Linked DNA regions of Schizosaccharomyces pombe. The gene in region 2 interacts genetically with the main gene of each other region. Each region holds a gene or a part of one and is shown on either strand. Other genes may lie near its edges. The genes, in order: shf1, cdr1 and sol1.

Evidence for each region.
Region 1: mutations in cdr1 (region 2) and shf1 together harm fitness more than expected from each alone (negative genetic interaction), as found in Schizosaccharomyces pombe (one large-scale study listed by BioGRID).
Region 3: of cdr1 (region 2) and sol1, changing one enhances a phenotype caused by changing the other (phenotypic enhancement), as found in Schizosaccharomyces pombe (one study listed by BioGRID).

Annotation. Positions count from the first base shown.
Region 1 is NC_003424.3:4,809,346-4,813,103, forward strand, and holds the start of shf1 (histone H2B-K119 ubiquitin ligase complex (HULC) subunit Shf1), read right to left. Parts: upstream 2,064-3,758; 5' UTR 1,923-2,063; coding exon 1,425-1,922; 3' UTR 1,141-1,424; coding exon of another isoform or gene 1-1,140. Other genes in the region: phosphoinositide phospholipase C Plc1, read left to right, coding at 1-1,140; CCR4-Not complex subunit Caf16, read left to right, coding at 2,754-2,877, 2,957-3,076, 3,122-3,720. UniProt on the Schizosaccharomyces pombe protein: Component of the histone H2B ubiquitin ligase complex (HULC) which plays a role in transcription regulation by catalyzing the monoubiquitination of histone H2B to form H2BK123ub1.
Region 2 is NC_003424.3:2,680,661-2,684,418, reverse strand, and holds the start of cdr1 (serine/threonine protein kinase (NIM1 family) Cdr1/Nim1), read left to right. Parts: upstream 1-2,011; 5' UTR 2,012-2,872; coding exon 2,873-3,758. UniProt on the Schizosaccharomyces pombe protein: This protein, a dose-dependent mitotic inducer, appears to function as a negative regulator of mitosis inhibitor wee1 by phosphorylating and inactivating it.
Region 3 is NC_003423.3:1,310,195-1,313,952, forward strand, and holds the start of sol1 (SWI/SNF complex subunit Sol1), read right to left. Parts: upstream 1,609-3,758; 5' UTR 1,531-1,608; coding exon 1-1,530. Other genes in the region: karyopherin/importin beta family nuclear export signal receptor Kap109, read left to right, coding at 3,037-3,094, 3,144-3,758.

The DNA.
Region 1 (3,758 bases), 2.1 Mb from region 2:
GCTTTCGTCGTTTCACCTTATCCATTATTCATTTCTTTGGAAATTCATTGCTGCCCTGACCAACAACGTCAAATGGTTAGTTACATGAAACAAGCATTTGGGGATACTTTGGTGATGAAACCCGTTACCGCTAACGAATCAGTTCTTCCTTCACCCGAAGATTTACTGAACAAAATTTTGCTGAAAGTCAAATGTTCAGCAACACCATTGCACCAATTTTCGACAGACATACTGAAGGTTGGGATAACTGATTCTTCGACTGATACTACCGAATCATCGGAGCTAGAAAATTCAGAATTAACAGGGTTAAGGAAAGGTAAAAGACGGATGAAAAATATCATTGTGCAGGAATTGCAACAGCTTGCACCTTATGCCCGATCATTGAAATTTCGAAATTTTTCTTTACCGGAATCAAAAACGTATAGCCACATATTCTCATTTTCGGAAAGGACTATAAAAAAGCATGGAAAAGCTATGGTTCCAAGACTTAGCAAACATAATTTACGCTATTTGTGTCGTGTATACCCTGGCCCATTGAGAGTAGGAAGTACAAATTTTAATCCTCAGGTGTATTGGCGCCTGGGTGTGCAAATGGTTGCTCTAAACTGGCAAACTTATGATACAGGTCTTCAAATAAATGATGCTTTGTTTATAGCTGATCCTCCGACTGGGTACTTGTTAAAGCCACCTTGTCAACGAATAATTGGTACAACAGTTGGCGAAGAAGGACTTCCTCGTAAAATAAAATTAACAATAGATGTCATATCTGGGCAACAACTTAGAAGAGCTAGAGAACTTTCTAATTCTGAAACTCTCAGCCCTTATGTTGAGATCCAAGTTCATTCAATGGAAGAATCTCCTTTTCGTTGGTGTTCCAAAGTTGTGCACGAAAATGGATTTCGACCTTTTTGGGGAGAAACCATGGTTTATGAGAGTATAATTAGTGATGACTTTTATTCCATGATCCGATTTCTCGTCCATCATCGAGGAAGTAATGGAAATGACTCTATATTTGCTAATTTTACTTGTCCGATTGACAGACTGCAACAAGGCTATAGACATATTCGTTTATTGGATATGCAAGGCGAAAATTTGTTATTTTCGAGTTTGTTTTTGAAAATTAAAAAAGAAGACATTTAGAACGCTGTGTCCATTACAGCACTTTCACCGTAATGAAACTTCAGAAAATCTAAAATGCATATTATACGTTAAAAGGGAGAGAACCGAAGTAGTCTGAGAATGTTTAGAGTGTATGAAGCGTTTTTTTATTTTTATTTTTTTTTTTTAAAAAAAAAAACGCTATACAAAAACATTCATGTTTATAAATATGGGTTTGGGATAAAACTTTCAATAAAAAGTCATAATAATATCCACAAAGCGGAAGCTCAATGATTTGTACGCAGACGATGATTGCAATAATTTATTTAGAAGCTGACATTATTTACAAAATCGTTTAAGCTTTTTACAGCTGCATCACTACGTAGACCTTCTCGGTATATATCCGTTCTAATTTTTTCCCAAAAATGTACTTGTTGAGCGTATTGTTGTTCGACATTCAATAAACTCTGGGATGAATTCTCGCACGCAGACTTGCAGCTTTGAAGTTTACTTGACAAACTCGAGTCTGGAAGATTAATCTTCGGCAATTCTACATTCGTATCCGTAGAAGCTGCCCCAAAAGACGCTCTTGTTGAATTATTGCTAGGGACTCTATAATGATAGGGAGAATTGTGTTCCTTGGAATTTGTAGATGAAGAGGGTGAATCATAACTAGATCTGGGTGTTTTTGTTCTTTGATGGTAGGATTGTCGGCTCCTATAACTAGATTCATAAAAACTGTTTTGATCAACGTTTGATTTCAAAGGACTACGATACTGGTGGTCGTTTCCATCATAGTGGTAGTCATTTCTTCTGCTGCTCATTAAAGTGAATAATTAAGTGCTGATATTAATGGTTCTTTTTTTTCACGAAAAATGTACACTATCTAATTAAAACAATTGGTTAAAGAACCGAAAAATAGTAATACTTAATTCAATTAAAATCACGGTGTGAGAAAACGGTTTGAGGTAAGACTATTTTACGTACCGCGTTATATAAAGCCCTTCGCCCATATCGATGTTTGTTTGTTGTTTAATATATTAAGTCTAATGATATGGGCAATACTACGTTGAAAAGCTAAAATCGTTTAGCAGGAATGAAATAATATTATATTTATATTTTTTTATTTGAGAAATGTCCGCCTGCTGTTAAAAAATTCCATGCGAATGTTAGGTTTGTCTGTTGTCTTAAACGAAATGGGGTGACCTTAGGAAAGTATTATTACTTAGTTTTAAGCCAAATAATATGTAGCATAAATTGTAGTTGATTACAAATGTTATCTGCTTCTATCTCCTATATATATTGTTTGCCAATTGTTCCATCGATGTTAATCATTTTTCTTTCCAAGACTCCGCAGGATGTGTGTTCAAGGTCTTAATAGCATCTCCAAATATGGGCAGCATTACTTAATAGTTAAAAAAGGTTCTTTACAAAGACTTGGAAAGCTAATTTATTAGTACGAGGTCTTGCTTATAACAACTTTACTGCATTCCCTCCACACTTTACTTGATACACAGATGTACTAAACACAATCCAGCTAACCCACAAAGTTTGAGTGTTATTTAATTTGCGCCTTTTTTTGGATCCTTTATATATTGTAAAACTAAGTTCTTAGATAATTATATTTTACTACTGTTAAAACATTCTATTTCAAAATGGAAGTAACTGTTTCAAACCTCTCTTACACGTTTTCTCCAAAGCAGCCTTTAAGTCTTGATCACGTAACTTTAGATCTTCCTAAAGGATCAAGGACTTTACTTGTTGGAGCCAATGGAGCTGGTAAGTTTCGCGGTGTTATGGAAATTGATGAAGAATATTTAAATGCTAACTGATGTCCTCTTGGAATTTTGTTAAACAGGAAAATCAACTTTACTTAAACTTTTATCTGGAAAATCGCTTGCGAAAGCAGGACATATATCGGTGGGTGGTAAAGATCCTTTTCGTGAGTCTAGTTCTGCATTTGTTTATTTAGGAACTGGTAAGTTCTTTTAACATCAAATTTTACTGATGTGTGCGTTTGTAGAATGGGTTAACAACCCTGTTATACATAGGGATATGAGTGTTGCACGATTAATTGCTTCTGTTGGAGGAGATAAATTTGCCGAACGTAGGGATTTCTTGATTTCAATTCTTGATATAGATCTTCGTTGGCGAATGCATGCAGTGTCCGATGGTGAAAGACGACGTGTTCAACTATGTATGGGACTTCTGCGTCCATTTGAAGTACTTTTACTTGATGAAGTAACTGTAGATTTGGATGTTCTTGCCCGGGCAGATTTGTTAAATTTTTTGCAAGAGGAAACGGAAGTAAGGAATGCTACTATTGTTTATGCAACACATATATTTGATGGTTTAGCTGAGTGGCCAACTCACTTGGTCCATCTCAGTCTTGGGCGTATCGTGGATTATGGACCAATATCCAAGTTTGGTGCTCTGATGACAAGGTCCTCTACGGGAAATAGCGCCCTTCTAGAGACATGTTTGGAATGGCTCAAAGAAGACAAAAAAAATAGGGGAACTCGAGAAGAGGAAAAGCGTAGTACCTGGGACGACGTTCAAGAATCATTAAAAGTTGGAACTGATGTATTTACTGATTACTTTAAGATTTCCCGAGCAAAATAGATTACTAGAAAAGTTATCCTTTAGATGCTTAATTCTAT
Region 2 (3,758 bases):
CTTCAACTTATCCTTTCGTAAGTGCAGCTCCACTCCACCCGGGGGTATAGAAATTACGAAACATCTTGAAAAAACGTCAACGAATGCATCAACAAGATCTTAGCATGTTTCGGATATGTCATGGTAAAGTTCGATTGCTTTGTGCATCTCCGTTAGCAGCTGCATCAAGCGAGTATCCAACGATGATCATCTCGATTCGTTTTGTGTGTTCATGAAACCCACGCCTTGCGTATGAAGTTGCCCACTTTGTATGACAATGAGATAATCTTACACTGCAATAAGGCCATATACCCGTAGTTGTTGGTACGACCACTCACATTCCAAAGTCCAACTCAATAGTGAAGAAATTCATCATTGGCAACAAGTCATCAACACTTCGTTGCTGTTGGACACTTCTACCAAACGTTCTTTATTGACAACTTTGAACGGCTTCGGCTGCATTCCCGAGCCCTGTAACGCCTATCTTTCATGTGGCTCGGAATGTAAACCAGAAACTCAGACAAATACCGCTGTTGGATCGCACTGATGATATTTGTTTATCGAGGCTGTGTTCATTTTTCTTAGTCATTTTAGCGTAACGAACTGACACCGAAAAATATCAAGCAATCAAGTAGATCCATCTGTCCAAGCACCAACCACATCTTTGCTCGATAATCAAACTTGGATTACCGATAGTTAAAGGTGAAGGATCGGTTTTGCTGGTTTCATTCGATTTTCCAAACATCGTCGATTCAGTAGACTGGGGTTGAGTCAGTATCCAAGCCATTCTTGCGCTCAATTGATAATTATGGTAGGTTACCCAAATGTTGTATGCCAACTGTATTACTTACCCGTGGTTATATTTTGAAAACAGCGAAACTGTGTAAACAATTTCTGTTTGTTTCTCAATTGTTTGTGGCGTACACGTATTGCAGCTCTCAAGTTGCTATAGTATATTTTTATTGTCTAATAAAAATTTAATGAATTTATTTAGTTGAAATATTTGCAGTAAGAATGTTCATGTTGATATACCATGTAAAAAAGTCACATAAAGTTGAGCAAGCTGAAAAAGAATAAGTTTTCGCCTCCAAATATAAAAATTTCAATTAAATTGTAGAAAATTATAGATTCTTTATAATATCGTAATTTCTTAAGCGGGGCCTATAGTCTTTCATCAACTTTTCACGACAGTCGTTGTTATTCATACCATAGGATGAAGACGATTTCAAACATCCAATATTCGCTTATAATGATGAAATGAACTTCAGTAACCCGTTCAATACATTCATTATATACTGAGATTTCATCTATTATTGAAGCAAGTTTCAATGTTTGGCATGAAGCCGGCTCTAACACTTGTCAGATTTCAAGTACCTGTTTTCATTATTTTTTTTGCTCAAATTTTCAAAAAAAGTGTAATGGCATGTGTTATCAGATATGGTATGCATCATGTCCCTGGTTATCCCCGAAGTAGAACGGGTTCTTGACCGTGCTACCAAGTCGTGTTACTTTTCGATGAAAAACTGGAATTCCCTGCTAAAACTACACGAGTAAAACAAGAAAAAATATTCATCTATTGCAATAACTTGCTCCTAGATTGCCAAAACGAGTACTACGTAAACAAATGTGAAAGAAGCAGAAAAGACTGCTAAAGTTGCTTTTAACGAAAATGTAAATAAGAGAAGAAAAGACAACTTTAACGGTTCGATTTTACTACAATATGAATATTAATTAAACTTCATAAAGCGAAACTGAAAAACTAAATAAAATTTGCTCTACAGCTATAAATCAGCTGTTAATATTCAAGTTTTTATCAAGACAGCACTATGAGCCTGAGATTACCACCCTCAAGGACTAGAAACCAAGTAGTGGATTGCTTCCGTTCCTTAAGTCATCCTATCGTGATCCGCCGAAATAATCGTAAGCCTTCAATACACTCTTCATATGTTCCCTGATCAAGTCCAAGTAGTGCCCCACCCTTCCCTACTCTTGAACACTTATATCCGCTCCTCCAGCATTCATGTTGTCCTCTGCCAAACTTATCTTGGCCAATTCCGTCTTTTGGACTACTCTGCATAAGAACTCAGCATTGTTTTCGATTTTAGGAATTGCTGGGATCCTGTTTGTATTAATATTGTAGATCGATATTTTGAAACATCTGTAGGCCTTCTATATAGTGGGTTGTTCTACATATTATTTATTTATTCATTCATCTTTCTTTGTTTTACTTACTGTTCTCCATATTTTTATCTGATTATACAGGGTTTGAATTAAAATCCGTTAGTTTATTTTATTCTACCTTTTTCAACTATTTGACCGCCCCAATATTTCCATTTTTACTTTCTCCTTTCTTGTTTCTTCTCTCTTTTAATTTATGAAAGTTCAATCCTTATTCGAATATCATTAACTTAACCTTTATTGGATTTATACATCACGAATCTTATACACTTTACATACTTTCTTTATTTTACGCTCCCCTTCGTTTCTTTTTCTTTGTCTTTACCTTTTTTTATTGCTGTTACTCAAAACGTCTTGTAACTTACATTTGTTATTTGTGTTCTTGTGCTACTTCCCATTTTTTTTTCAAGGTCCGTCTATTTCCGTTCCACGTTTCACTTTTCTGTTCTACAATACACTCAGAAAAGTGCTTTAGGTTATTTATGAGGCACTCTTATTTTATTAATTCGTTTCCAGTATCTATTTTGTGATCACACCCTATTTTGTATCGTGGTGTCATTCACTTTTTCCTTTACTTATTCCAAATTTCATGCTACTTTTTCGACATTTATTCTACTTTTCATCATAAGTATTTCAGATTTTCTGAAGTTGCTATTATTCAGTCTGCAATTTTACTTTTGGAAAGCCTTTTCCCTTAATAAAAGGTTAGATTTGAATGGTGAAGCGACACAAAAATACTATTGGCGTATGGCGTCTTGGGAAGACTTTAGGGACTGGTTCCACTAGCTGTGTGCGTCTTGCCAAGCATGCTAAAACTGGTGATTTGGCTGCCATCAAAATTATCCCTATTCGATATGCCTCCATAGGAATGGAAATCTTAATGATGCGTTTGTTGCGCCATCCTAATATTCTTCGACTATACGATGTTTGGACCGATCATCAGCATATGTACTTAGCACTCGAGTACGTCCCTGATGGTGAGCTTTTTCACTATATACGCAAACATGGACCTTTGAGCGAAAGAGAGGCTGCGCATTATCTTTCCCAAATTCTTGATGCTGTAGCGCATTGTCATCGCTTTCGCTTTCGCCATCGGGATTTAAAACTTGAGAATATTCTCATCAAGGTAAATGAGCAACAAATTAAAATAGCTGATTTTGGCATGGCCACTGTTGAACCAAATGACTCTTGTCTTGAGAATTATTGCGGCTCTTTACATTATTTGGCTCCCGAAATTGTATCTCACAAACCATATCGTGGAGCTCCTGCTGATGTTTGGTCTTGTGGTGTCATCTTGTATTCATTGTTGTCGAATAAGCTCCCCTTTGGTGGTCAAAACACAGATGTTATTTATAATAAGATTCGCCATGGCGCATATGATCTTCCTTCTTCAATTTCTTCGGCTGCGCAAGATTTGTTACACAGAATGCTAGATGTAAATCCAAGCACGCGTATAACAATTCCGGAAGTTTTTTCTCATCCATTTCTAATGGGCTGTACATCATTGAGCTCTATGGATAGCACTACCCCTCCTACCCCTTCACTGTCAATTGACGAAATTGATCCATTAGTAGTTGATTGCATGTGTGTGCTTTGGAAAA
Region 3 (3,758 bases), on a different chromosome or scaffold from region 2:
GTAAAGAAGTTGTCTATAAGAAGGACGTTTATCGGCGATTTCCATTAAATCCTCATTAGGAAGAACAGATAGCAGATTATCAAGGCACTGAGTTGCAACGTCAATCAACGCATCAACTACATCCTGGCACTCACTTAACGGAAACATCCATTTTTGATCATTTGTTAATATAAGTAAAACGTTCATTGCATACGTTATTTCTTTTTCCAAAGTAGATTGCAGGCTCATGCACAAGGCTTGAATGTTTACAGTCCCCAGATCTACGATTGAAGGCATCTGAAGCCGAAGCAAAGATTCATCGAGCCTATACGTGGCCGCGACATTCAAGGGATAACCCAACATAGGATCGATGGGCTTTTTTATCGGTTGATAAGCAACGGGTTCGGCAGAATCAACAGGAGCTGCCGAAGAAGAAGTTTGAACGGTGGGCGGAGTGGGTCGAGTCGGAGCAGAAGGGTATGGTGGAGCATTTCTTTCAGAACTAACTGTGGTAGGAGCAGCTGGAGAGAAACGATTAGCGGTGAATGCTGGGGAGGGTGACTTTGAGTGAAGTGATCCATGCATAGAACCATTGGCATGTACAGCTTCTGGGGTGGTTTGGACCGGCTTTTGTGGATAGTTTTTTGGTCTGCTTTGAACATTCGCAGAATGATTAGCTTTTGCTTGTTGAAGTGATTTTTGTTGCTGTTGAGCAGCAAGCCATGCTTCTTCATATGGAAGCAGATAGGAATTGTAATATTGAATTAGAAGGGAAATAGCATCAGGAGATGGAAACCCCAAGGAAGCAGAAATTTTTGGCCAAAAATTATGAGCTGAGACTTGTCGAGATCCACCGGCACGCATAACCAAGGCGTACAGCATCATTAAATTAATAGGCGTATTATTTATTTGAGGATAAGATTTGATTGGCGTCCCCCGCTTTTCCATAAAAGAAATAAGGCTAACCATGAATTTGTCAAAACTAGCAGCATAAGCAGGCGTTAGTTGATTAGCATTACCAGAGGGAGTATTTGGGGAAGGTGCAGGTTGAGGAGTTTGTCTTACAGCTGGGTGGGCATTGATGCCAATTTGATTAGGAGGAATTTGTTGAGAGAGTAAGGCCTCTCTGCTTTGCATTTGTCGTTGATAAAGTTGTTGCTGCTGTTGCTGTTGTTGTTGCTGCTGCATTGCAGCCTCTTTTTCTTGTTGAAACGGGATCCGACTTGAAGGCATCATGGGACTAGAGTATTTCACAGATCCAGAGCCATTCCATGCACCGTTAGAGGCGAAATCAAATGATTGATTTGGCAAATTACGTTGAGTTGATGGAGATTGTCGGAAGGGCTGTGAATGAGCCAAATTGTTAGGCTCATTCTCGGAAGTATTCATCATGTTTGCATTTCCATATTCTGCTGCATACATCCCTTGGCTTGTCGAAAAGCGTTGAGGATACGCAGGTTGTTCTTCCTGAGTATTATAACTTTGACCTTGCGTGGGATATGATACTGCGGTTGGATAATCACTCGCAGGAACAAACCCTTGATTATTCATGATTCCTCATACTAAATCAAACAAAGAGTAAAGGGACCTTAAAATACACGTTTCAATATATTAACGTCTAAGGCGCTTGGCAGCTGAAAGTGCTTGAAAAGCAGACGAAGTGCATATAACGAGTTGTTTAGTGCTGCCTTTAAGAACCTAATCTGTGTGTTTCAGAAAATGCTTAAATTCCTAAAAAATCTTTACACTCATTCCTTTAAATCTCGCAAACGTGATTTCTTGCCTTTGCAGTGTCTCTTATTTCCAAGTCAATGACAATTGTTAGCATTGGGAAGCATTTATCGATTAGTCAGGTATCTAAAATTTTAAAAACAAAATAATATCTTATTCCTCTTGTAATAGAAACAATATTTATTAACTTGCTCTGTTAGTAGACTTGGCGAAACTGTAAACAATCACGAGTACAACATCTTCTTCTTGCGGAAACAGATATTTTTTTAATAAATTATTTTTTTTTTTTTTAAAATAGTAAAAGCATATGAGTTAACATATTCGAGATCCCGTTATCCTCCTTTTCTTTCTTTTTTTTTTTTTTTTTTTTTTGAAAGGAGCAATCAAAATTGACACATTAATTCAAATTTATCTGGTCTAACCTTTTTTTTATTTTTTATTCATTATTTTTCCTTCTTTCTTTCTGGCTACATAAGACTCGACGCAATGTCATTTTATAAATTTCATTGTTTTCTATAAACGTGCTTTCATATGTGTAAACCTATTGATGAATGAAACAAGATAGTAGAATATGGTAATTTCTATTATCAAGCAATTGGATTTAGGTTGTTGAACTCTATGGACAAGGGCTTGTACGTGTAAAATATATATGTTTATGACTTAATTATTTACTTTTGCAAATCTATGGTTTCAAGTCAACTCGCAAAAGGAATATCCGATTCAAGAAGGAAAAAAACTAAATACTACAATAAAAAAAGGTTTGTAGTATTTGAGATAAAGATGGAGATGCTATATTGCACATGTAGAATTTGATGGCATAAACAAGAATTAGATTTGAAACAAAAGTCAACTAACACAACTTTCAAGTCCACGTATAAAGCGATTTCTATTCTGACGGTTCATAAAATGTTTAATGAGCTTGCAAACTAAAACCAAGTAATTCGGAAATTAGGTATTTACAAGCTGATAATTAAAATGTGAACCCTTGAATTATTGATAATGAATTATAGATTTTATTAGTTTTAATTCCTTTTTTAAGTAATTTATCAAGTATAGTCCAACTATTTATTTACAAATATTGGTATATTAGGGTGTTTTAATAGAAAAAAAAACAAAAATTAAGCGAAGAAAAGTATTACATTAACAAGCCTGAAAAAGAAGCAAACAAACTAATTAAAAGATGTTAACTATATCAAACTTAAGAGAAAATTATTTAATAAATAAAACCGGAATTAAAAATTCTCTATAACGATGTTAGAGAAATTGTTCTAGTTACGTCGGTGTCCTTCAAAATCTGCCCTTAACCACAATCCCTGTAGGAAAACTATGGATGACATTCCAACTCTTCTTGCGAGAACATTAAACCCTACGACTTCCAAAAGTGGTAAGATACCCCAACAGAGTGGATAAAGCAAATTTACTAACTGATATAGCTGAGGAAGCACTGAAAGTATGGGAATTACAAGATAGTTCTTTTGCACTAAAACTCCTCAATATTGTCGCTGAGGATACAGTAGACATCAATATTAAGCTGGCCGCTTCATTGTATTTCAAAAATTACATTAAAAAACATTGGGATTCTGAGGAAGGTGCTTCTATTCGTATCAGCGATGAGGTGGCAGAATTGATCAAACGCGAAATAATCAACTTGATGCTGAAAAGTACTACCATTATTCAAGTTCAGCTAGGTGAAGTAATTGGTTATATTGCCAACTTTGATTTCCCTGATCGGTGGGACACTCTTCTCCCCGATCTGATATCTAAATTGTCTGCTGTTGACATGAACACGAATATTGCTGTACTTTCTACTGCACATGCGATTTTTAAGCGCTGGAGACCTTTATTCCGTAGCGATGCACTTTTTTTGGAGATCAAATATGTGTTGGATCGTTTTTGCGAACCATTTCTCGCTCTCTTCGTGCAAACCAACAACTTATTGCGTAACGGTCCACAAGATGCAGAGTCTCTTAACAGTTTATTTCAGGTTATCCTTTTGGAGTGTAAACTTTTTTATGATTTGAATTGCCAAGACATTCCGGAATTCTTTG